2 linked regions of the Canis lupus familiaris genome follow. The protein of the gene in region 1 interacts with the protein of each later gene in a biochemical or structural test. Links are inferred from orthologs where the notes say so. Each region holds a gene or a part of one and is shown on either strand. Other genes may lie near its edges. The genes, in order: RAN and RANGRF.

The links.
Region 2: the proteins of RAN (region 1) and RANGRF form a complex in vitro, tested with the Homo sapiens proteins (2 studies listed by BioGRID). The link is inferred for Canis lupus familiaris from reciprocal best matches to the Homo sapiens genes RAN and RANGRF.

Annotation. Positions count from the first base shown.
Region 1 is NC_049247.1:1,618,463-1,629,047, reverse strand, and holds RAN (GTP-binding nuclear protein Ran), read left to right. Parts: upstream 1-5,616; 5' UTR 5,617-5,628; coding exon 5,629-5,664; intron 5,665-5,772; coding exon 5,773-5,857; intron 5,858-5,930; coding exon 5,931-6,056; intron 6,057-6,884; coding exon 6,885-7,072; intron 7,073-7,241; coding exon 7,242-7,412; intron 7,413-7,507; coding exon 7,508-7,552; 3' UTR 7,553-7,566; downstream 7,567-10,585. UniProt on the Homo sapiens protein: GTPase involved in nucleocytoplasmic transport, participating both to the import and the export from the nucleus of proteins and RNAs. Switches between a cytoplasmic GDP- and a nuclear GTP-bound state by nucleotide exchange and GTP hydrolysis.
Region 2 is NC_049226.1:33,285,941-33,295,805, forward strand, and holds RANGRF (ran guanine nucleotide release factor), read left to right. Parts: upstream 1-3,729; 5' UTR 3,730-3,825; coding exon 3,826-3,926; intron 3,927-4,020; coding exon 4,021-4,137; intron 4,138-4,361; coding exon 4,362-4,518; intron 4,519-4,611; coding exon 4,612-4,697; intron 4,698-4,907; coding exon 4,908-5,031; 3' UTR 5,032-5,182; downstream 5,183-9,865. Other genes in the region: SLC25A35 (solute carrier family 25 member 35), read right to left, coding at 1-18, 5,932-6,066, 6,388-6,540, 6,879-6,944, 7,819-8,193. UniProt on the Homo sapiens protein: May regulate the intracellular trafficking of RAN. Promotes guanine nucleotide release from RAN and inhibits binding of new GTP by preventing the binding of the RAN guanine nucleotide exchange factor RCC1.

The sequences.
Region 1 (10,585 bases):
AGCAGGCTCCCTGTGGGGAGCTCGATACAGCACTCAATCCCAGCACCCTGGGATCACGACCTGAGCCAAAAGCAGATGCTCAACCACTGAGCCGCCTAGGTGCCCCTTAAAGAGAGAAGTTTCAAAGAATCTGTGGGATCACTTTAAAAACTGTCACATTGTTTGTTTTTTTAAGATTTTATTTATTTATTCATGAGAGACACAGAGAGAGAGGCAGAGGGAGAAGCAGGCTCCATGAAAGGAGCTCGACGCGAGACTCCATCCTGGGACTCCAGGATTACACCTGGGCCGAAGGCAGGCGCCAAACCGCAGAGCCACCCAGGGATCTCCCCCAAACCATCACGTTGTTAAGTGCTAGCAACACATTTAGATACAAATTATGTTGTGATCCACCCCAGGATAGGACAAAGAATACTGAAGGCAGGATTTAGCTCATGGGCCACCAAAGTGTACCCCCTACGCTGCCCTGGTCATTGATTGGATGGATATCTGGCATGAGTATATGACAAGGCTCTCGATTTTGCTGTCAGGGGAAATAATTTCTGCACTAATGCTAAGAAGTAGCATGTAATCTATGCACCAGTGTGCTCCCTATATAGAAAAGTGAGTGTCCAGTAAGGAAAACATTTCATTTGACAAGTCATTGATATCCAGCTGGAGTGATGAGTGAAGTAGATAATGGGATCTTCCCTTATTGGTTTGCAAAGTCAAGGAAGTTGATGGAAACTGCACAAATAGGAAAGGTTGACTCTGTATTTGTTAAATGTTTGTTATTTCCTCAATGATTAGTCTTTGACAAGAAATAGCATATTGAAATTCTGATAAGCTTGTATATGTAAGTTATTACTATTTTATTAGCATTATTGGGGCTATTTCTGATTTTTTGTGTTAAGATGGGGTTAAGAGTAGTTCACTCAATAATTCAACACATATTTACTGAGCACCCATTATGAGCCAGGCACTGTGCTAGATACCTTGAGGATTGTGCCAAGCAAGGTGCTTTGTTTATTCTAGTGAGGGAAAGAAAGACAGAATGGTATGCATGTAAATTATTAAGCAAGCTATTTTCAGGTAGGAGTAAGTGCTTGGGAGAAAATCAAGTGAGGGCTGAGATGGAAAATGGCTGGTATGGTGACACCGTTTTCAAGAGGGCAGTCAGAGTGGGCTTCCCTGAGGAGGTGACATTTGAGCTGTGACCTGAAGGGTGAGAAGGAACCAGTCAGGCAAGGATGTAGAAAAAGAGCAGAGGGACCAGTAAGTGCAAAGGCCCTAAGGCAGGGACAAACTTGGGGGAGGTAACGTTCAGAAAGGTTTGCATGGCTACAGAAGAGTTACAGGGAAAAAAAAGCTAGAGCAGAGGATGGAAAAGTAGGCCCATCTTAGCTTACCTCGGGTCTGGCCAGTCATGGATTTCATGTATCTGAAGCGAGCCATTAAAGGGCAGGAGGGGGGTCTGAAATGTTCTACGAAGGTCACTTTGTGCTCCTGAAAAGATGCACTGAGAAGGACATAACCATCTCTCGGGTATCCCAGCCCAAACTGCAGAACTCAAATCCCAACCATTGGAAATATCAGACACATCCAAACGGAGGGTATTCCACAGAAGACCTGGACTACAAAATATGCTGCAGAAGCATAAAAGTCGAAGTGACTGCTCTGGACTGAAGGAAAAGACACAGAGTGAATAGCTGAGGGTCACATGTAATCCCAAATAATCTCAAACCAGCTCTAGGGCAGCAGTGAGACCACTGGCACTCTGGTCTGTAGAGGAGGCGATCCAATTGCAGATGGCTTTGTTTCCTGCTTTGGGTAACGGAACTGTGGTTACGTAACAAAATGTCCTTGGTTTTAAGAAATACACACAGAAGAGCATCCTGCATGCTGCATATTCTCAAACATCCCAGAGGTAAAAAATCCTATATATATTTTAAAATCATATATGTAATGAGATTGTTACTGAGAGAAAGAAGGAGAGGAGGACTAAGGCCAATGAGGAATGCTGATGTTTGAGGAAATTACAGGTAACAGCTGAAATCCCTGGGTTTTTATAATTCTGTTTCCTCTCAGTGCATTTGGCTGCAAAGTTTGAAATTACCGGGTAAGCACGGAGTTGCAATCCATGTTGTGCGGCAGAGACCAGAAGTACCCCCTGTGGACTGCAAAGTCATTAGCATTTGGAAGGGCTGAGGGAGAGGCACCTGGGTGGCTCAGTGTTTGAGCATCTGCCTTCGGCTCAGGTCATACAATTCCAGAGTCCTAGGATTGAATCCCACATCGGGCTTCCCTGCAGGGAGCCTGCTTCTCCCTCTGCCTGTGTCTCTACCTCTCTGTGTCTCTCATGAATAAATAAAAAAAAAACTTATAAAAAAAAAAAAAAAAGGATGGGCTCGGGGAGTTTTACTGGGGAAACTCATTATCTATGTCAGCCAGAGTATGTGTTCCCATTTTTTTCATGTGCTCTCTGAGATGATCATCTTCAGAAGTTCTGGGACAGGGCCAGTTAATGACATCTGCAGCTAATGAACAAACTAAACCACCAGGAGCTCCGTTTAGAATGCTAAGCATGGAGAACAACTAATATCCATATTTGACAGATTTCCTCTTGGATTTTTTTTTTGGTGGGAAGAAATATTTTTCAAAAATGCCAGAAGGTGGGATCCCTGGGTGGCGCAGCGGTTTGGCGCCTGCCTTTGGCCCAGGGCGCGATCCTGGAGACCCGGGATCGAATCCCACATCGGGCTCCCGGTGCATGGAGCCTGCTTCTCCCTCTGCCTGTGTCTCTGCCGCGCTCTCTCTCTCTCTGTGACTATCATAAATAAATAAAAAAAAATTAAAAAAAAAATGCCAGAAGGTGGGAGCACCGGTGTTCTCACCACCTGGAGCTACACGGTGGTTAATATGTTGTCCTGTTTGCTTCAATTACCTTCTTTTAACAGAAGAGAGGGAATCTTCTGTGACTGTTCTGCTCGCCCCATCATACCCCTTCCTACTGTCTCTCGAAACAACAGCTTCATGATTCCGTGTATATTGTTGTAATCAATTAAAAAAATTACCTACATAACATTCAAGAACTAATATGTATAAAAGTGTACATAAATGGTATTGTACCGTACAATCTCTCTATAAAACTACATATACTGTGGACTATTTAAGACCATTATCACATCTTTCTTGAACTTCCTTCTTTCTCAACATTATCCTTTGAGATCTAACCCTGTTGATACAGATGAACTTGCTTCCTTTCAGATGGCATACTGTAATAGTTAAATATTTGTAGTTTCCCTACCAATGGGTATCTCTGGAAGCTGCATTTTTTGTTGCCATAATGTTGTAGCGAACGCTTGAGATACTGTCTCCCTGTGCATATGTGTGAGTTTAACTCCAGAGAATCTCTCTAGAAGTGGAAGTTACAGGGTCGCCAGCTCTCGGCACTCATGTTTTATCAGTTCCTGCTTTCCAGAGAGGCCAAAGCAATGGTCACACCCAAGCAGCATAGAGATCTGTTTGGTGTTTTCCTGAGGGTCCTGGAGAGCAGTGGGATTGGAGTTCCCAGCAGGCAGATTCGCCCAAGTGTTGTGCCCAATTTGCATCACTTGTGTTCCCAATAGGTTTGCTTGCAAAGGGCACTGAAGACTAAGTGGCTAACTCCTCCTCCGTCATCTGGGTTCTCTGCGCTCTGGGAAGAGTCCCCACGGTGGAATCCTTCCTGAGCAACCAGACTACTCTGATGGGGCCACCAGCGGTACTACTCTTGCCGCGAGTGCGGATGTTTGCTTGCAGAGGGGGCCGAGAGGATCTGGGTTATGGAGAATCTGTGGCTGTCCACACAAATGCCAAAAACTGGCCCTAGATTTAGGGTAAGAGGTTAGAGGACTCCACTTGGCCCACTTCCTTGCTGAGAATGAATAGTAGTTAACTGTCAACACTTGCTGAGCTTGTGGCTCATCTTACTTTCTGCCTACACCGGCCCTACGAGGTGGGCATCCCCAGCAGCATGTGACTTCTGAGTGCATGGATCTCGTCTGCATTCTTGCCAGCTTTATTGTCTCCACAGTCTGGAACCTACATACTCATCGATTGCATCCAAATTTGTAACTGGGATGCGAGCCGCCAGGTTTGAAAACACGATTTCGTCATCCTGTGCGCAGGATACAGTCACAAAGGCTGCTGACCAAGGAAATGCTTTAACAAAAGGGTGGCTGCCTTTTAGGGTGAGAAAAAGCATCGATTTTGCACCCTTTACCCCCAAGTAAGGTTTTGGCTGGAGCCAGGGACACCGGGTGTGGGCGGTGGGGGGGCCTGAAACACAAGGCAGGGGCCCGCGGGGTCCAGGTGAGAGGAGGGGGTGCGGCGGGGGCCCAGGGCAGGCTCTGCGGACCGGGGTCTGGGAGGAAGGGCCGGGGCCGGGCCGGGCCGGGGGCGCAGGAAGCGGCCGAGAGGGTGATGGAGGCCCGGGGGAGGCAGGTGGCAGATGGACGGGCGGCTCCGGGAGAGGGTGCGGGTCGGAGCGCCCGGGGTGCCGCGAGAGCCCACAGGGGCAGGGCCACAGGGGCAGGGCCCAAGGCCTCCGCACGCGCCCGCTTCCCCCGCGGCGCACCGTCCCGCGCGCCCACGGCGAGGCCCCACGCCCGGAGGCCCGGGGCTTTGTGTCGGCCGCTCCCCGCGACTTTCCCGCCCAAGAGGCCTGCGCTCTCCTCCCAGTGTCGTGGCGCGGCCGCAGCTGGGCGCGCCGCGTCGGCGTCGGCGCATGCGCGCGCTGGAACCCGCCCTTGGGCCGGCGCACGTGGCCCCGCGAGCCGGCGTGCGTCCGCGCGCCCGCGCCGAGCGCGACTGCCGCCCCGCCGCGACTCTCCCCTCCGCGCCCGGCCGACGGGTGTGGCCGGCCGAGCCCGCGGCGTGCGTGCGCGCGCACGCCGGGCCACGTGGGAGCGACGCGGCGCCGTTGCCCCGCCCCCCCCGGCGCGCGCCGGCGTCGGCTGCGTCTCCGGGCATTTGAATTGCGCTTCCGCCATCTTCCAGCCCTCAGTCAGACGGGCCGGAGACGCTTCTGGAAGGTAAGGCAGCGGGGCCGGGCCGGGGGCCGCGGGGGCCGCGGGGGCCAGGGGCCGGGGGGCCGGGGGGCCGGGGGGTCGGGGGCCGGGCGGGGGCCGGGCGAGGGCCGGGCGAGGGCCGGGGCCGGGGCCGGGCGGCAGTCGTGCGGGCCGGGGCGGCGGCGGCGGCGGCGGCGGGCTCTCGCCGTCCCCTGCCGTAGAGACCGAAGACCGTGGCCGGGACGCCAGTCGCGGTGGGCCCGGGCGGGCGGCGGCCCCGGGGCGGCGCGGGCCGGGGGGCGCGCGATCGGGGCCCCGGGCGGCCCCGGCCTCCGCCCCGCGCGCCGGCCTCCGCCCCGGCCTCCCGGCCTCCCTCCCCCACGGGCGCGCCGCCAGACCCGCCGCCGGAGCAGCGCCGCTCGCCCGCCCGCCCGCCGCCGGGAGCGCGCCGCGGCCCCCGCCCCGGCCCGGGCGTGCGCGCGTGGGGCCCGGCCGCCGGAGCCCCTTTGTGGGCCCGGGCACGTGGGGCGGGCCGGCCATGTGGGCCCGGGCCCCGCCGCCAGCCGTCCCACGTCTGTCTCCCCGCAGCACCAGCGCTATGGCTGCCCAGGGAGAGCCCCAAGTCCAGTTCAAGGTGGGTGGTGCGCGGGGGCGGCCGGGGGGAGCGGGGCGGCGCGGCCCGGGGGGCGCCGGGGCCTCCCCTCCCCCCCCCCGCCCCCCGCGACCGCGTCCTGTCTCGTAGCTGGTGCTGGTTGGCGACGGCGGCACCGGCAAGACCACGTTCGTGAAGCGTCACCTGACGGGTGAATTCGAGAAGAAGTATGTAGGTACGTGGGGGGAGCCGCGGGGGCCCCCGGGAGCGGGGCGCGAGCGGACCTGACGGCCGTGCTTGTGTTGCAGCCACTCTGGGCGTGGAGGTCCACCCCCTCGTGTTCCACACCAACAGGGGCCCCATCAAGTTCAACGTGTGGGACACCGCCGGCCAGGAGAAGTTCGGCGGGCTCCGGGACGGCTACTACATCCAAGGTGGGTGAGGGCGGGCCGGCGGCTGCCGCGTGCTGTGTCATGATGGGCGCAGCGCCGAGCCTGGAGCCTGGAGCCGGGACCCGGAGCGGGCTCCTCACCTAAGACAATGAGCATCCCACGAGGTGCTGCTGTGGCTGCCGGAGTCGTTGGGGCTGGTTGGGGGTTTTTTTGCTTGTTTTTTTCCCTCAAGGGCACTGTAGAGTGGCAGATAAAGACAGGAAGAAAATGTCATCTGGGATCTCTTGTGATGAAAGATGATTGGGAGTCCTTCCATATTTTGCATCCTTTGCTATGTTACAGATACACAGCTTTTTTTTTCTCTTCTTAAAAAGTGTTTAATTAGGAAACTCCTAGACTGTACATACTTCGGTTTGTTGTCTCAATTATATTAGAATTGTGTTCCTCATAGGTCAGTATGTAGGCCTGCGTGTTTTAAGGCAGAATAACATACTCTTTTGTGTAGTTTAGGATCATTTAAAGAGCAGGTTCTGAGATCCTCAGAATAGAGGAGACCAGTTGTCTTAGGGTGCTGCTCTATCGGTAGTCTACTTGAGATTCTGGGATGGGACGGAATTAATGAAGTATTACGGGAGAGATTTGATAAGCTAGGCTGGTAGTTCACACTCACACAGAAAATGAAACTTTAAATCTTGTTACGTATTACAGTGGTTGGAGATCCTTAAACTTGGAAGAGAGAGACATTGGGGTGTAGTGAGTGCAGAAGCAGAGGTAGCCAGATTGGGCCTGTCCCCTAGCCCGTGCTCCTTAGCATTCCTCATTTGTGCAAGAAGTCATACATGTGTAACAGTTTTCCTACATCTGTTTCAGCCCAGTGTGCCATTATAATGTTTGACGTAACGTCAAGGGTTACTTACAAGAATGTGCCTAACTGGCATAGAGATCTGGTACGAGTGTGTGAGAACATCCCCATTGTGCTCTGTGGCAATAAAGTGGATATTAAGGACAGAAAAGTTAAGGCAAAATCTATCGTCTTCCACCGAAAGAAGAACCTTCAGGTATGTTTTTTAAAACTTAATTGTTTTTCTCTAAGATGAAACTACGGTAATAGATCCACTAAAGGAAATTGTGTCTGTGGTATGGATGGAAAAACTATTTTTAGTTTTAAACATTTCAATGATCCTCAAGAAGTAGATTTTTAAAAACTTATTTTATTTTATGGAACAGTACTATGACATTTCTGCCAAAAGTAACTACAATTTTGAGAAGCCGTTCCTGTGGCTTGCTAGAAAACTAATTGGAGACCCTAACCTGGAGTTTGTCGCCATGCCTGCTCTTGCCCCCCCAGAGGTGGTCATGGATCCAGCTCTGGCAGCACAGTACGAGCACGATCTAGAGGTAGGTGGCAGATGGGTCCGTCAGTGGGATCTCTTGGGTGTCCCGTGTCCTGACGGCTCTAACCCATGGTGTCCTGACGTTGTGTCTCTGTCCAGGTTGCTCAGACGACCGCGCTCCCGGATGAGGATGATGACCTGTGAGAAGTGCAGCTGGAGGCCAGCGTCAGAAGTCTAGTTTTATAGGCAACTGTCCTGTGATGTCAGTGGTGCAGCGTGTTTGCCACTTTTATTATATAGCTGAGCAGAACATGTGCTTAATCTTTGGGATGCTGAAGGAGATGAATGGGCTTCGGAGTGAATGTGGCAGTTTAAACAGTACCTTCATTTTTTTGGACCTGCATACTTAGCTGTTTTGGAACGCAGTTGTTTCCTTCCTGAGTTTCAGATAATGAGACTGCTACAGTCCCATCACAATATCCAGTGGTGAAATCTCGTTTGTCACTGTCATTCCCATTCCTTTTCGTTTAGAATCAGAATAAAGTTGTATTTCAAATATCTAAGCCAATGAACTCCTCCCTTGTTTGGTAAGCATCTTAAAACCACTAACAGGAAAAGTTGTGCCACGTTACTGTTGAACTGGCCTTTGCTATTCTCCCTTAATTTGAATCTTTGCAGGTTAAGTTCTTGTCTATTTGTACATTTGGATCCTCTCACACAGGTGACAGGGCAGACATCCGCAGTATTCCGTTTGGTAGATTGTTAGAGGGGTGAGCATCCGTGGTGAAGCTAAAACGATGCCCGTCGCATCTGCCTTCAGACTGGGTGGTGTCACCTGGGGAAGAGCTTTGGACTTCTGTGACCTGTTGGAACAAAACTACTAGACGTTTCGGATAGGCATTTTAAGAATTACAGTTAACATTATTTTGTGACCAGTAACCGTGCTCTCATGTAGGGATGTTCAGAATCTGGTAGAACGATAACAGATGACGGTGGGGACTTGACAGGAGTCTCATTTGTTAAAAATGAGTGTAAGTTATGCATTGATTTGATTTTGTTTTAATGTTAACGTCTAATGTGAAGCTGGTACTCTAGAAAGATGTTCCACGATTACCCGCTGCTTTCAAGTATTTCTGAGTGTTAAAGATGCTGAAGAGTAAGGATTTAAGTTGGGCATCTCACAGCTTTGATGCTTTTTTTTTTTTCTGAAGGATTTTTGTGGCCAATTCAAAGGCACGAACACTAAATAGAAAAGTAGATCTTAGAATGGCTTCTTGAAACGTGAAACATTGCAAAGGTTTCGTTGGATCAAACCATTTATCTTTGTATGATTTACACATTTAAGAACGAGTGGAGTCTGTCTTCAGTTTTGACCCCATGGATGCTATACTGTAGCAGTTAGGAGTCTTAAACTATTATGCTCACTTGAGCACTGCTATGGTTGTTTACCAAAGTTCCTTAGATGTCCATTTCTCCTTAAATGGTTACTTTCTTACCTAAAAAGAAGGTAGGAAGGGGTTGCTTAAATATATGGAAAAATGAAATACAGAGGGTAGAATTTAATAAATTTCAATATTGAGTAAATGTATCAATAGATGTACTTCAATTACTGTAAATGTTACACTATATTAGGTTCAAAACCAGATTTTAAGTGACTTGAAAAGATCGTTCCCATCATTGGGATGAAACCTTTTTCAGATACGTAATAGGAGGCATATGTGTTTGTGACCTGTGTGGAATGCAAGTGTGTGTGACGTGACTAAATCTGAAATGTAACTGTTAAATTTGGAAGCTACTTCACTTACCTGTTGAAAATGGGATGGGAGAGAATTCACAAGTCTTACTGAAAGAAAAATTTGCTGCAAAATATATTGCTTCTTTTTGTCTGGATTTTCTGAATCATCTCTAGTACTCCCTGGGAAACGCTGGATCTTTAGCAGGGATTCCCTTCGTGTGAGGGTGTGTTTCTCTGCAGGTTATACATGTGGGGGATGCTTCTCCCTCCATTTATTGCAATCTGATGTGATGGGGGAGCGTTGAATTGAGAGCCTGTGCCGTGGCTCTGTTGACGTGGACAAGGACAGGTCTGTCCAAGCACAAGCAGTGAGAGCCAGCACAGTTTGCTTCATGTCATGTGTGGAGAGTTCGTTCCTTTGGGTGGCGTCTGTCCTGTTTGGTGACCTCACAATGAAGCAGAATTAATACAGAGCACTGGTAAGATGAGGGCAAGGTGTCTGGTCCCATCAGTGTACACAGTGGGTTCTTCATCTTCTCGGCAGGTCAGGAAAGGGCAGAGGTTTGCAGAAATATATTAAACTTCAAAAAACTACTTTCTTGATTGAGAAGTGCAACTTGAGAATTTGTTTTTTATGAACATCACTTTAGTCTTAGGAAATGAGGTGAACACAGGGCTGAAGGTTGCTTTGGTTTGGCTTGGTTAGGTATACATGTGGGACCAGCCTCAGCAGGTGTGACACCATTGACCATGTTGGGGCTGCAGGCTTTGTGCCTGATTCTAAAGGGACAAGAGACAGGTGCCCCCACCCTGACCTTGAGACCTGGAGCCTTGTTGGAGTAAAAGGTGGGCCTAAGCACTGCAGACCATGCTCAGGGTCCTGTGTCCCTGGCGGATGTTTCCCTGCCCCTGTAGTCTCATATGGCAATGTGCACTGGCTCAGCTGCCCCTGTGGCCATGGTGGAAGGGTCAGCTGGCATTTGATTTGTCCCCCTCACTGGATGCTCCTTGCTCTGCCCTGTCCTTCCCATTACATTTTTCGAGAGGTTTCAAGGGGGAGAACATGGAGGTTTGGGTGGAATGGTGGGGGCGGGGAGGGTCTCCCTGGAGTTTGTAGTTTGCAGTGTCCTCTGCATGTATCCCAGCTTGGGGTCTTAGGGAAAGTGTGCATGATGACACGGGGATCCAGGGTCGGTCGTGCCTCCACTCCGCTGTGGGAGGTGGAAGGAGGGGAGCCTTGGATTTAGTCGGCTTCCAGTTGCCTGCCTTCAAGAAGTAGAGTAGGAGGGACGCCTGGGTGGCTCAGTGGTTGTGTCAGCCTTGGGCTTATGGCGTGATCTCGGGGTCCTGGGATCAAGTCCTGCCTCAGCTCCCCCGCCCCCACCCGCAAAGAGCCTTCCTTCTCTTCACATCTCTCATGAATAAGTTAAAAAAAAAACAATAGGAACCATTACAGGTAAGCTGTCCTTTTAAGATGTAGGCAGAGGATTGCACACATCCTG
Region 2 (9,865 bases), on another chromosome or scaffold:
CCAGGAATGACAGGACACCTGTCATGATAGGAAAGGAAAGGAGTAAGGACACCGGAGGACACCTGAGAAGAGCAGAATGAAGTGCCAGGAAGCAGGCACAGCACTCTCCAGGCAGGAAATGCTGGCTTCAACTGGGGCGTGCAGTGGAAGCCCAGATGGAAGGGGATGGAAGGATCCCAGAGCCGCTGGGGTGCAGAATCACCAGGAACTGGATATGAGAGGATGAGGACAGAGCAGAGCCCATGGGTGAAGCCCAGACTTCCTGGTTGGACCACCAGGTGGGTGCTGATCTCTGTAGTTGTGATTGGATCACAGAGGCTGGGAGGAAGGTGATGGGCTCTGCTTCGCCGCGCTGGGACTGAGGTGTTAGTGGGCCGCGAGAACGGAGGTATCCAGCAGGCTGGCGGGAGAGGTCTGGGATGGAGATGATCTGGGAGCCCCTGGTGTATGTACGTACGGAGAAGGTCACCTAGGAGGTCCGGCAACCGTGTTTAAGGGGTTGGCAGTAAAATTAGGAGGCTCAGTGGCTGGCTTCCCACCACCTGAGTCGCGGGAATATCCTGGGATGCCCTTGGGAAGGAAGCCAGGGCAACAGAGGGCCTAGGGAGCCAGCCCAAGCCCTCCACCGCCGAGTCCTAGCTCTGCTGACCGAGGCAAACTCTTCTGGCCCCAAGATCCTCTCCCAACTGAGTGCATGCAGCCTGCCCCCACCCCCAACACTTCCCCTGTGGCTGGTTACAAGGAAGTGATGTATTAGCTAACTAAAGCAGATGAAAAGCACAAAGTTGTGTGGCACTTTGGGGGCTGGGGCCCCATGGATTCCCAACGATACCTTCCAGAAGGTTCCAAGGGAAGGAATAGGGGGCTTCCCCCACCCTCCCACCCCTACTCCCACCCCGGGGGTTAAAGACACAGGGACTGTAGCCCGAGGAGACCCCTCCTCACCCATGAGAATGTAACGTACCTCCCCCTCCCCGTGAGGATCCATCAGATTCTGAAGAGCTGCCACGAGACCCCTCCCCACACCTCCTCCCTCCCTCAGAGGCAGGCCAGGCCATGGGGGGTGGGGGGAGGCGATGGAGGGTGGGGGATGTGTGCTACAGCGTACCACCTCTCCCAAGTCACCTCCTCCTCCTACTTCTGGAACAGATGCTGAGAGACACATGTGAAATGCAGGAGGGCCCGTGTCCATCGAGAGGTCAAAAGTGCGGGCTGCCAGAACCAAGCTAGGAGAACATGACACTCATTCGGAGGGCGCATGCCCTTTGCCAGCTCCAGGCAGAGGGTCCTGAGGAATGTCGCTGAGTATGGTCACTTGGTGCACTTGTCTCGGTGTCACTGGCTTGGACAATCCCACACCCAAAAGGAGGAATGGCAGGATCAGAGGGGCTGGACTCTACCTCTGGGAAGTGGAGGCAGTAAAGCACCCAGTCTTGTGACTTAGGGGCAAGAACAGAGGCCCTCTCTCCTCTTTGCCCTGTCCACAACCAAACCCTTCACTGCCTACTTCTGTCGGGCGTCACCATTCTTCTTGGCCTGGCCACCATCTTTGACACTCTCTTCATGCTTCCTCTACGCTTTGCGGACCCCCCAGACTATGGCTTCTCTTGCTTATTGCTTTTCTGGCTTCATCTCTTCCTCTCCTGTCTCTCTACGAGCTTAGTGTAGACCCTCATCCCCCTGAACTTGGGATATTACCGACTTCTTATTCTGTTTCACCCTGACTGGTCTAACACCAACTGCAATAAGCATCGGATGCCTCAAGGTACAGTCTGTTTTCCACCAGCCAACACTCATTTCAGATGCCAACCATAAATCTTACAAGTCCCTAAGTAACCACATCTCTGGCCAACTGGCTATAAATCCCACAGTTCCTGAAATGCCCAGAGGTTCAATAATTCACTGAAACAACTCGAACTAAGGGAAGTACTATACTTTTGATTGCTGTTTCACTCTAAGGACACATAAATGTAAGATCTGGAAGGGTCCTGGAAGGAGAGCTTCCAAGCTCATTCCCTGACACATCAGTGTGTTTGCCATCCAAGAAGTTCCCTTGAGCCTTGATGTCCAGAATCTTTATTGGGGCTTGCTTTTTTTTTTTTTTTAAGATTTTATTTATTTATTCCTTCATTCATCAGAGACACACACACACAGAGAGAGAGAGAGAGAGAGAGAGAGAGAGAGAGGCAGAAGCAGGCTCCATGCAGGGAGCCGGACGCGGGACTCAACCCCCCCCCCGCCAAGGGGCACCTGGGTGAGTCAGTGGTTGAGCATTTGCCTTGGGCTCAGGGCGTGATCCCGGGGTCCAGGGATCGAGTCCCGAGTCCCGCATCGGGCTCCCCCCAGGAAGCATGCTTCTCCCTCTGCCTGTGTCTCTGCCTCTCTGTGTCTCTCATGAATAAGTAAATAAAATCTTAAAAAAAAAAAAAGTGCACAAGTCCTCTCCAGTGTCACTGTTTCCAGCTCCTGCCACCTGTCCCTCACTGCACCCTGGCCAAGCCAATACACTTCCATCTCCCAAGATACGCCCTTTCAAAAGTTCCAAGTCGGGATCCCTGGGTGGCGCAGCGGTTTAGCGCCTGCCTTTGGCCCAGCGCGCGATCCTGGAGACCTGGGATCGAATCCCACGTCGGGCTTCTGGTGCATGGAGCCTGCTTCTCCCTCTGCCTGTGTCTCTGCCTCTCTCTCTCTCTGTGTGTGTGACTATCATAAAAATAAAATAAAAAAAAAAAAACTTAAAACAAAAAAACCCCAAAAGTTCCAAGTCTTTGCACCTGATATTCCTCTGCCTAAAACACCCCTAGGATGCCCTGGTGAATTTTGGGTCAACCTTTAATACTCAAAGTGTTCCCAGCAGTCCTTGGTGAGGCAGGGATCATGACCTAACTGCCTTTGTATCTCCAGCTTCGGTAAGGGGCCCCAAAATGAGGAGTCCCCTGGCCCCAGGGCCATGAAATCATTAGGGTCCGTAAGTAGAGGCAGCACTTGGAACCCCGTGGGTAAGGCGTTTATCCATTCATCCCACAATACCTAATGGCCCTGTTATGTTCTGAACACTGGCAGGCGCTGGGGATTAAACACGAATGGAGAAATCAGCTGGGAGAATGTAACTGGGCGAAAACTTTTGAGAACATTCTAAAAAATCAATGAAAGAGAAACAACAGAGGGTTTAATCCGTGTTTTCCTCCAGGTGCGTGTGGGGGCGGCCAGCCTCTCCACCCCACCCACCCCCACCGAGTTCTCAAGGCAAGATTTGAGACGGATTAAACGCCTAATCCGCGGGTTGGGTCTCGCCTGCAGGAAGGGCCTCACACCTGGCCCCACTGTTCCCCTAAATCCCCGCATCCGGGGAATTAGCGGTCGGGTTTGCAGCTCGCTGCCTCCAAGTCCCCCCCAAGAAGGGAGCTGCAAGACCTTCAAAGGTATTCTCCCGATTCAGGAGACCCCACCCAGACGTCAACCCCTTGCCCGAGCAAGGGTCCCCAAGGAAGGTCTCAAGCGACAGTCTCAGAAGGCGCGACCTCTTTAAAGAAGGGAGACTGTGGGCGCGGGCTGGAGGGCACCGGGCGCTCACAAACCCCGGCGCCAGGGTCGGACCTCGCCGCTTGCAGCCCGCGGCAGCCCCCAGGTTCCGCCCCCGCGAGAGCCAGGCTTCCGGGAGCCGCCCCGCTGGGCACCGCCCCCCAAGGCGCAGACGCTAATTGGCCAGCGCGGCCGAGGGGGCGGGGCCAACCCGTAAAGGGGCGGGAGCTAAGGTGGACCGGAGGCGGCGGCGGTGATGGTGATGCCGCGTGGCCACACGTGAGTTTCTTCTATATCTCTCTGATGCCCGCACCCAGTCCCAGGCCCATGGAGCCCACGCGAGACTACCCGCTGTTCGGGGGCGCCTTCTCCGCCACTCTGCCTCCGGGGGCCCTTGACGTAAGGTGAGAAGGCGCGAGCGCCGCGGACCCGTCCGGTGGGATGAGGGGAGAAGCGAGGGCTCAGCCGGTGGGGGGGGTCTGCCTCGACTCTCTCCAGCGACCTGCGACCGGTCCCGGACAATCAGGAAGTTTTCTGCCACCGCGTGACTGACCAGAGCCTGATCGTGGAACTTCTGGAGCTGCAGGCCCACGTGCAGGGCGAGGAGGCTGCGCGGTGAGGGAGGCGGCCGCCCGCGCGGCTGGCCAATGGGAGGGCCGGAGCCGAAGAGGTGGGCGGGGCCTGCGGCAGGACGGTTAATCAGGGCCGTGAGACAGCCCAAGGGCAACACCTTATCGCGGGAAGTGAGCGAAGCTTAAAGGGCTCGATGATGCTGGGCAGGAGGGAGTGGGCGGCCGGTCACCGTCCCTCCCTGACCCCGCCCGCGCCCCCTCCTCTAGGTACCACTTTGAGGACGTGGGCGGGATGCAGGAGGCTAGGGCCCTGCAAGTGGACAGTGTGCAGCCCCTCCTTTCGGAGAACCTGGCTCTCCGGAGCTACTGTCAAGAAGCCTGGGTCCTCTCTGGCAAGCAGCAGGTAGCTAAAGAAAACCACCAGGTGAGAGCACGGGAGTGTGAGATTCCTGGAGGGGTGATGGGAGGGGCCCTGGGGGGCGGGGTCAGGTAAGCATCTTGACCCTGATCCCTTCAGGTAGCAAAGGACGTGATGGTGCACCAGGCTTTGTTGCGGCTGCCCCGCTATCAGACTGATGTCCTGGTCACCTTCAATGAGCCCCCGTAAGGAGGACAGAAAGGACACATGGCTCATGACTGGGTCCCCCAGGAGGATCTGCTGGGAGGGGCAGAGCGGGGAGACTGGCTGGTGGGGTCCTCCAAGAAAGAGGGAGAGGGCCAGAGGCTTGGGGTCCTCCTGGGAACAGGAAGTGGGACTGTCACCACCTGAGGCCTGGATGTTGTTCTTTCTCCATCTGTTCCCCCACCCCCAAGCCCTGACAATAGGTTATCTCTTGGTCCTGAAAATCTGTCACTTCTGCCCTGGAGCCTGGGTGACTTTGAACAGCTGGTGACTAGTCTGACCCTTCACGATCCCAACATCTTTGGTCCCCAGTAAAGATGCTGAAACACTGCGTAAAGCTGCTGAAGCACACAGGGACCCCGTTCTGCAAGGGGACCAAGGAGTTGGATATATGCCCTTAATTCCTTCCCTGTGCATAAACATAAGACACCTCCTGTCTGCAGAAATAAACTTGCTTTATAACGAAGATAATATCTCTGTGCCTTGCTGAATCCAACAAGACACCTGGGTCCCCCCTGGTTCCTTTTGGTCTTGGAGTGGGGGGTTAAAAGTTTGTGCATAGGATCAGAAGGGGACCCAAGGCCATCCACATAAAAGGAGGGAATACTTTGGAGTGATTGGCTCTGCCCTGAGAGAGGGGGTGTGACGTGTCCAGGAGGATGGGTAGGGAAGGTTTAAAGTGACACCCAAGGAAGGGAGGCAGACTGTTCCTTGTAGTGATTTAACCCTGAGAAAACAGATGGGGAGTGGTGTTGGCTGTCCCCCTTGGGTGGATGACAGGTCACCTGGTCAGAAGTCACCAGGATATAGTAGTGGAGGCAGAAGTGTCCAAGGAGTGCTGATTTGGTGGTGTGTGCAAGAGTGGCTGTTGTCATTTGGTGTACGTGTAGTAGAGGGTGCGTAACTGGTCCCAGAAGAAGAGGGAAAGGATGGTGTGGGGGCCAAGGCGGAAGTAGGAGGCACCTATACCCTTGTACATGCCAAAAATGCCCTCTGTCCGAGCAGTTTGCAGCAGAGCATCCAGGATCCCCCGGTACATGAGGCCCTGAGAGCGGGTTGAGAGGGAGGGAGAGCACAGGGAAGGAGTCTGTCAGAGCCCACCAGGGGCGTCATCTCAGCGGGCTGCATTTTAGGCTGTCCCACCTGCACCCACAATTTGCTTTCACCCACCGCCTGGCCTTCCCTGCCTGCTGGCACTCCAGAGTACCCCCTTACCTTGCCCCGAGCATCTGTGGGCTGGTTGTAGAGCCTTGTACTGGCCACATCAAAGGGTGTCATGGCCAGGACCACTGCAATGCCACTCACCATGGCAGCCACCAGAGCAACCTTCCAGCTCTGGGGAGGAAATATCTAAGGGTGGAGGGAGGAAGAGAATTTTGTCAACCAATTGTTTAACCCCTGGGAAAGAACGGGGCCCTGCCCTGGGGATAGAGTAGAGAGCCTGTAACTCAGGGAGCTCCCAAGGGCAGGATGCTCCAGCACTCAGATGCACCATCTGGGATGAGGTGACAAGAGGATCATGGGAAGGGCGTAAAGAGTCTGTGACCCTCAAGTCCTCCTGCCATTCCCTCGCATCGAACATCACCATGCGACATTCATGGGCCCCAATTCAGCTTGCCCTCCCACTGCCCGCACCCCCAGTGTGGCCCCATCCCTTTTGCCGGGCAGTACCTCCCACTGAGTGATGAAGTCCTTGGTGGATGAGAAGGTGCAGAGCTGGGTGGAAGAACCGATGATAACTCGGGGCAGGCCGCCCAGGGCCCCACGCCACAACCCCACCAGACCATGTTTCTGGCCAATCTTGCTTAGCGCCTGAAACATGCCCTGGTAGGGGGAAGACCACGGGGGCGGGCTTCAGTCACCCCGGCATCAGGGAGCTGCCACCTAACCCTGCCAAAGAGGGGTCTTGAACGGGCACCCGGTGTCTGGACAACCAGTTCCATGTGGACTTAGATTTGGAATGTTTCTATCACCCGCACTGTTCTCTTCCTCACCACTCCACAGGAGGGGCAGGGGGTGGGTGCTGAATCGGTGGGCTAGGCAAGCCATGGCTGCCTTGCAGCAGTTGGGCACAGGCAGAGAGCTGCGGGGTGGGTGGTGCAGGAAGTGGGGGGAACGGGAAAGAATGGGCAGGGACCCCAGTAGGGTTGGAAAACACTTACCTGATGCTTATACTGATGTCCTACAGCAATTTCTGAGGCTGCCTGTGCCTGCAGGTGTGTCTTTACCTGGGGACAAGAGAATGTCATGGCCTACGGCCCAGTGGTCAGCCTCCCACCTCAAAGACTTGAACGCCTGACCCTATCACACTTCCTCCAGGGTGTTCAGCAAGGAGTATCCTTTTAATCTGATCATTGTTGTTGTTCCCACTTAACACGTTGGTCATGAGACTCTGTGTCCCTTGGCTCCGGTCCCAGGGGATGGATCTCCTAGCACTGCAAGATACCCCACGCCCTCTACATCTTCCTTCCCTTGGGGGTTGAGTGGGGGATGGACAGGTTAGAGAATGGCAACATTTCCTAAGACTGTCCCTGTTAGGCAGCACTTGGGTGTCTGGCCTCTCATGTCAGCTCCTATTCCCAGACTGGATCTCTAGTTACCACCATGACCAGACTCCTCCATCCAACTCTGGGGCAGGTTGCCGTAAAACTTGCTCTCTGGCTCCCAAGCCCCAAGGAGGCATGTGGAGGCTGACTTTGGAGGGGTCACTGTTTCTGAATGTCATATCCTAGGAGTGAGACCAGACTTGCCTCTCTTATAGAACTGCCTGACCGCCAGTGTCTTCCAGGAGGAACACTAAGCAGAACCTAGTCCTAGCAGCAAGCAGCTGTGTGACCTTGAGCTGGTCACTTCCCTTCTCTGGGCCTCAGGCTATTGATCCTTTACCTATTCCAGAAAACTCAAAGGAGGAGACTGTGGGATTATAATTCTGTGGTGCCCAGGACTCTCCCTCATCCCTACACCCACTGACGATGTTACTCAGATTCTTCATTGTTCCCTGCACAAACCCACTTCCAATCTCAGTGTCAGATTGTGAAGGCCCAGGCCCCACCCTACACCAAGGGTCTGCCTGGAGGCCCCAGGCAAGACCCTTCCTCTCACCATGTAGATGGGGCTCCCCAAATAGGCTCCCATGACCCCAGCCAGGGCCCCAGCTGCTGCGCTTCGCGGAGGGCTGAGGGTGCCTTCGGCAGTATGCAGGTAGCCTCTGGCCTCAGCCAGGCTGTAGGTGCCCAGGCGGATGCCATTCATCAGGAACTGGTATAAGAGGGCAGGGGCCAGTCCCTTCTGCAGGGCAGCCAGGCCATCCACCCTGCCGATGGTGATGAAAGCGTGGAAGACATTTCGGTAGTGCCGCTGGTAGGTGCCGGGGGCCTTCAATTCTCCCTGCAACTGCATCCTGGTCTTTACCACCTCCAGAGGGTTGGTGAACACACAGGCCCCGCAGGCTGCCAGGCCGCTCATCAAGAAGTCCATGGTGGGGTCGCAGTGACAGGAAGTGACCCAGGAGTAAGAAAGTAAAAATGAGCCTCAGAAATGGAGTCAGAACTCAGGGGGTAGGCCTCCGTCTTGGCAAGTTTGGACTGCAGGAGGCAGGAACTGAGAGATTTGGGGTGAAGAATGTTAGGGTCAGATGTCAAGAGGTCAAAGGTTAGCTGGAATTTGGGAGTCAGGAGCTGGCAAAGAAAGAAGGAAAAGGAGTTTAGGAGAGTCTGGTGGGAAGGTTATGGCAGTGCCCCGTCGGTCACGGGATCCGAGGTCAAGGAGGGGCAGAAGCCAGGCGGATGGCAGGTGGGATGATGGGGATGGTCAGCCACGGGCCCGGGAGCAGAGAAGGGAAAGGCGGATTGGGGCGATGGGAGCCGAGAGAGAGAGGAAAAAGAAAACCAGCAGGTTACGGAGGAAGAGGATCCGGGAGGAGATCGGTGGCGTCTGGATCGGGGGTGGGGGTGAAGGAAGTCGGAACTCCGGGCCGGGGATGATGTCCCCAGGCAGCTGCCGGAGCTCGCAGCAGCTCGGCCCGGGGAGCCTGCGGAGGCCGGGCCGCCACACTCCAGCAGCGGAGCGCGGCGCCCAATGGGGAGCCGAGGCGAGCGGGGGCCGGCAGCGCCAGCCAATCAGCGCCGAGCCAGCTCCGCGGCCAATGGGAGGCGCCCTCGGCGGCCCGGCCCCCGGAATCCGCGTGGAGAGCGTTGGAATTAACTCTCCCCGCGCCGGCGCCGGCGCCCGCGCCCCAGACTCGGGGCTCCGGGAGGGGCGCCCCGGGGGCCGAGCGGGGAGGACAGCTTGGCGAGCCGAGGCCGAGAGCCGAGGCAGCAGCCCCCTACTGGGCGGGGGATGGTGGTGGGGTGGGGTGGGGTGTTGGCGCCGCTCCCGGGGCAGGTGGAGGGCGCCCCTCCCTTCCCTCCAGTCCGGGTCGGCGGCAGGCGGGGACTGCCAGCCTGCGGATCTGCTAGCTCCCCCCCCTCCCCCTCCCCGCCGATTCTGGCGCCAGGTGAGCCCGGAAGCTGGGGCTCCGCCCACAGGTGCGGAGGGGACACACCTGCTGGACCGGGCCGATCTCTAAGGCCGGCGACCGGATCCGTAGGTCCCAGAGCCAGGGTGTGGCTGGCTGCGGGCAGCGAAGGATGGCGTGGGAGCGCACTCACAGCCCTGAGCTCTTGATCCTCGCCGCAATCCAGAGAAGGGCGGACCCGGGCTAGACAGGGAGGTTGATCCCCGGGTTTAGCCTTCCACTATCAGCTAGCGGTGGGAGGGCGCCTGGGATTCTGGACTCCTGTCCTTGCTCGTGAGTCTGGTAGCTGTTAATCACGGGTGAACTGGTGAAAGAGGCTGGGGGAGCTAGCCACTCCGGGAAGGGCTTGAGGGAGAAAGAAGGCTTGGAGAAAGAAAGGATGAGGCAGGAGGAGGAGGAGGAGGAGGCGGCAGAGGCTGTCTGCCTGCGTGTGAAGCAGCCACCACATTTAGACTCAGAGTGCCCTTTGGAGTTCCTGTGTGTGTCTATTTGCTTACCAGCTAGATGACCTTAGGCAAATTATTTAACATTTCAGAGATTCTTTTGTAAATGGGAATGCTAAGTATCTATTGCTCTTACCTGGGTGCAAGTGTTGGACTCCTACTAAGTGCTCAGATAGCAGGTTTCCAGAAA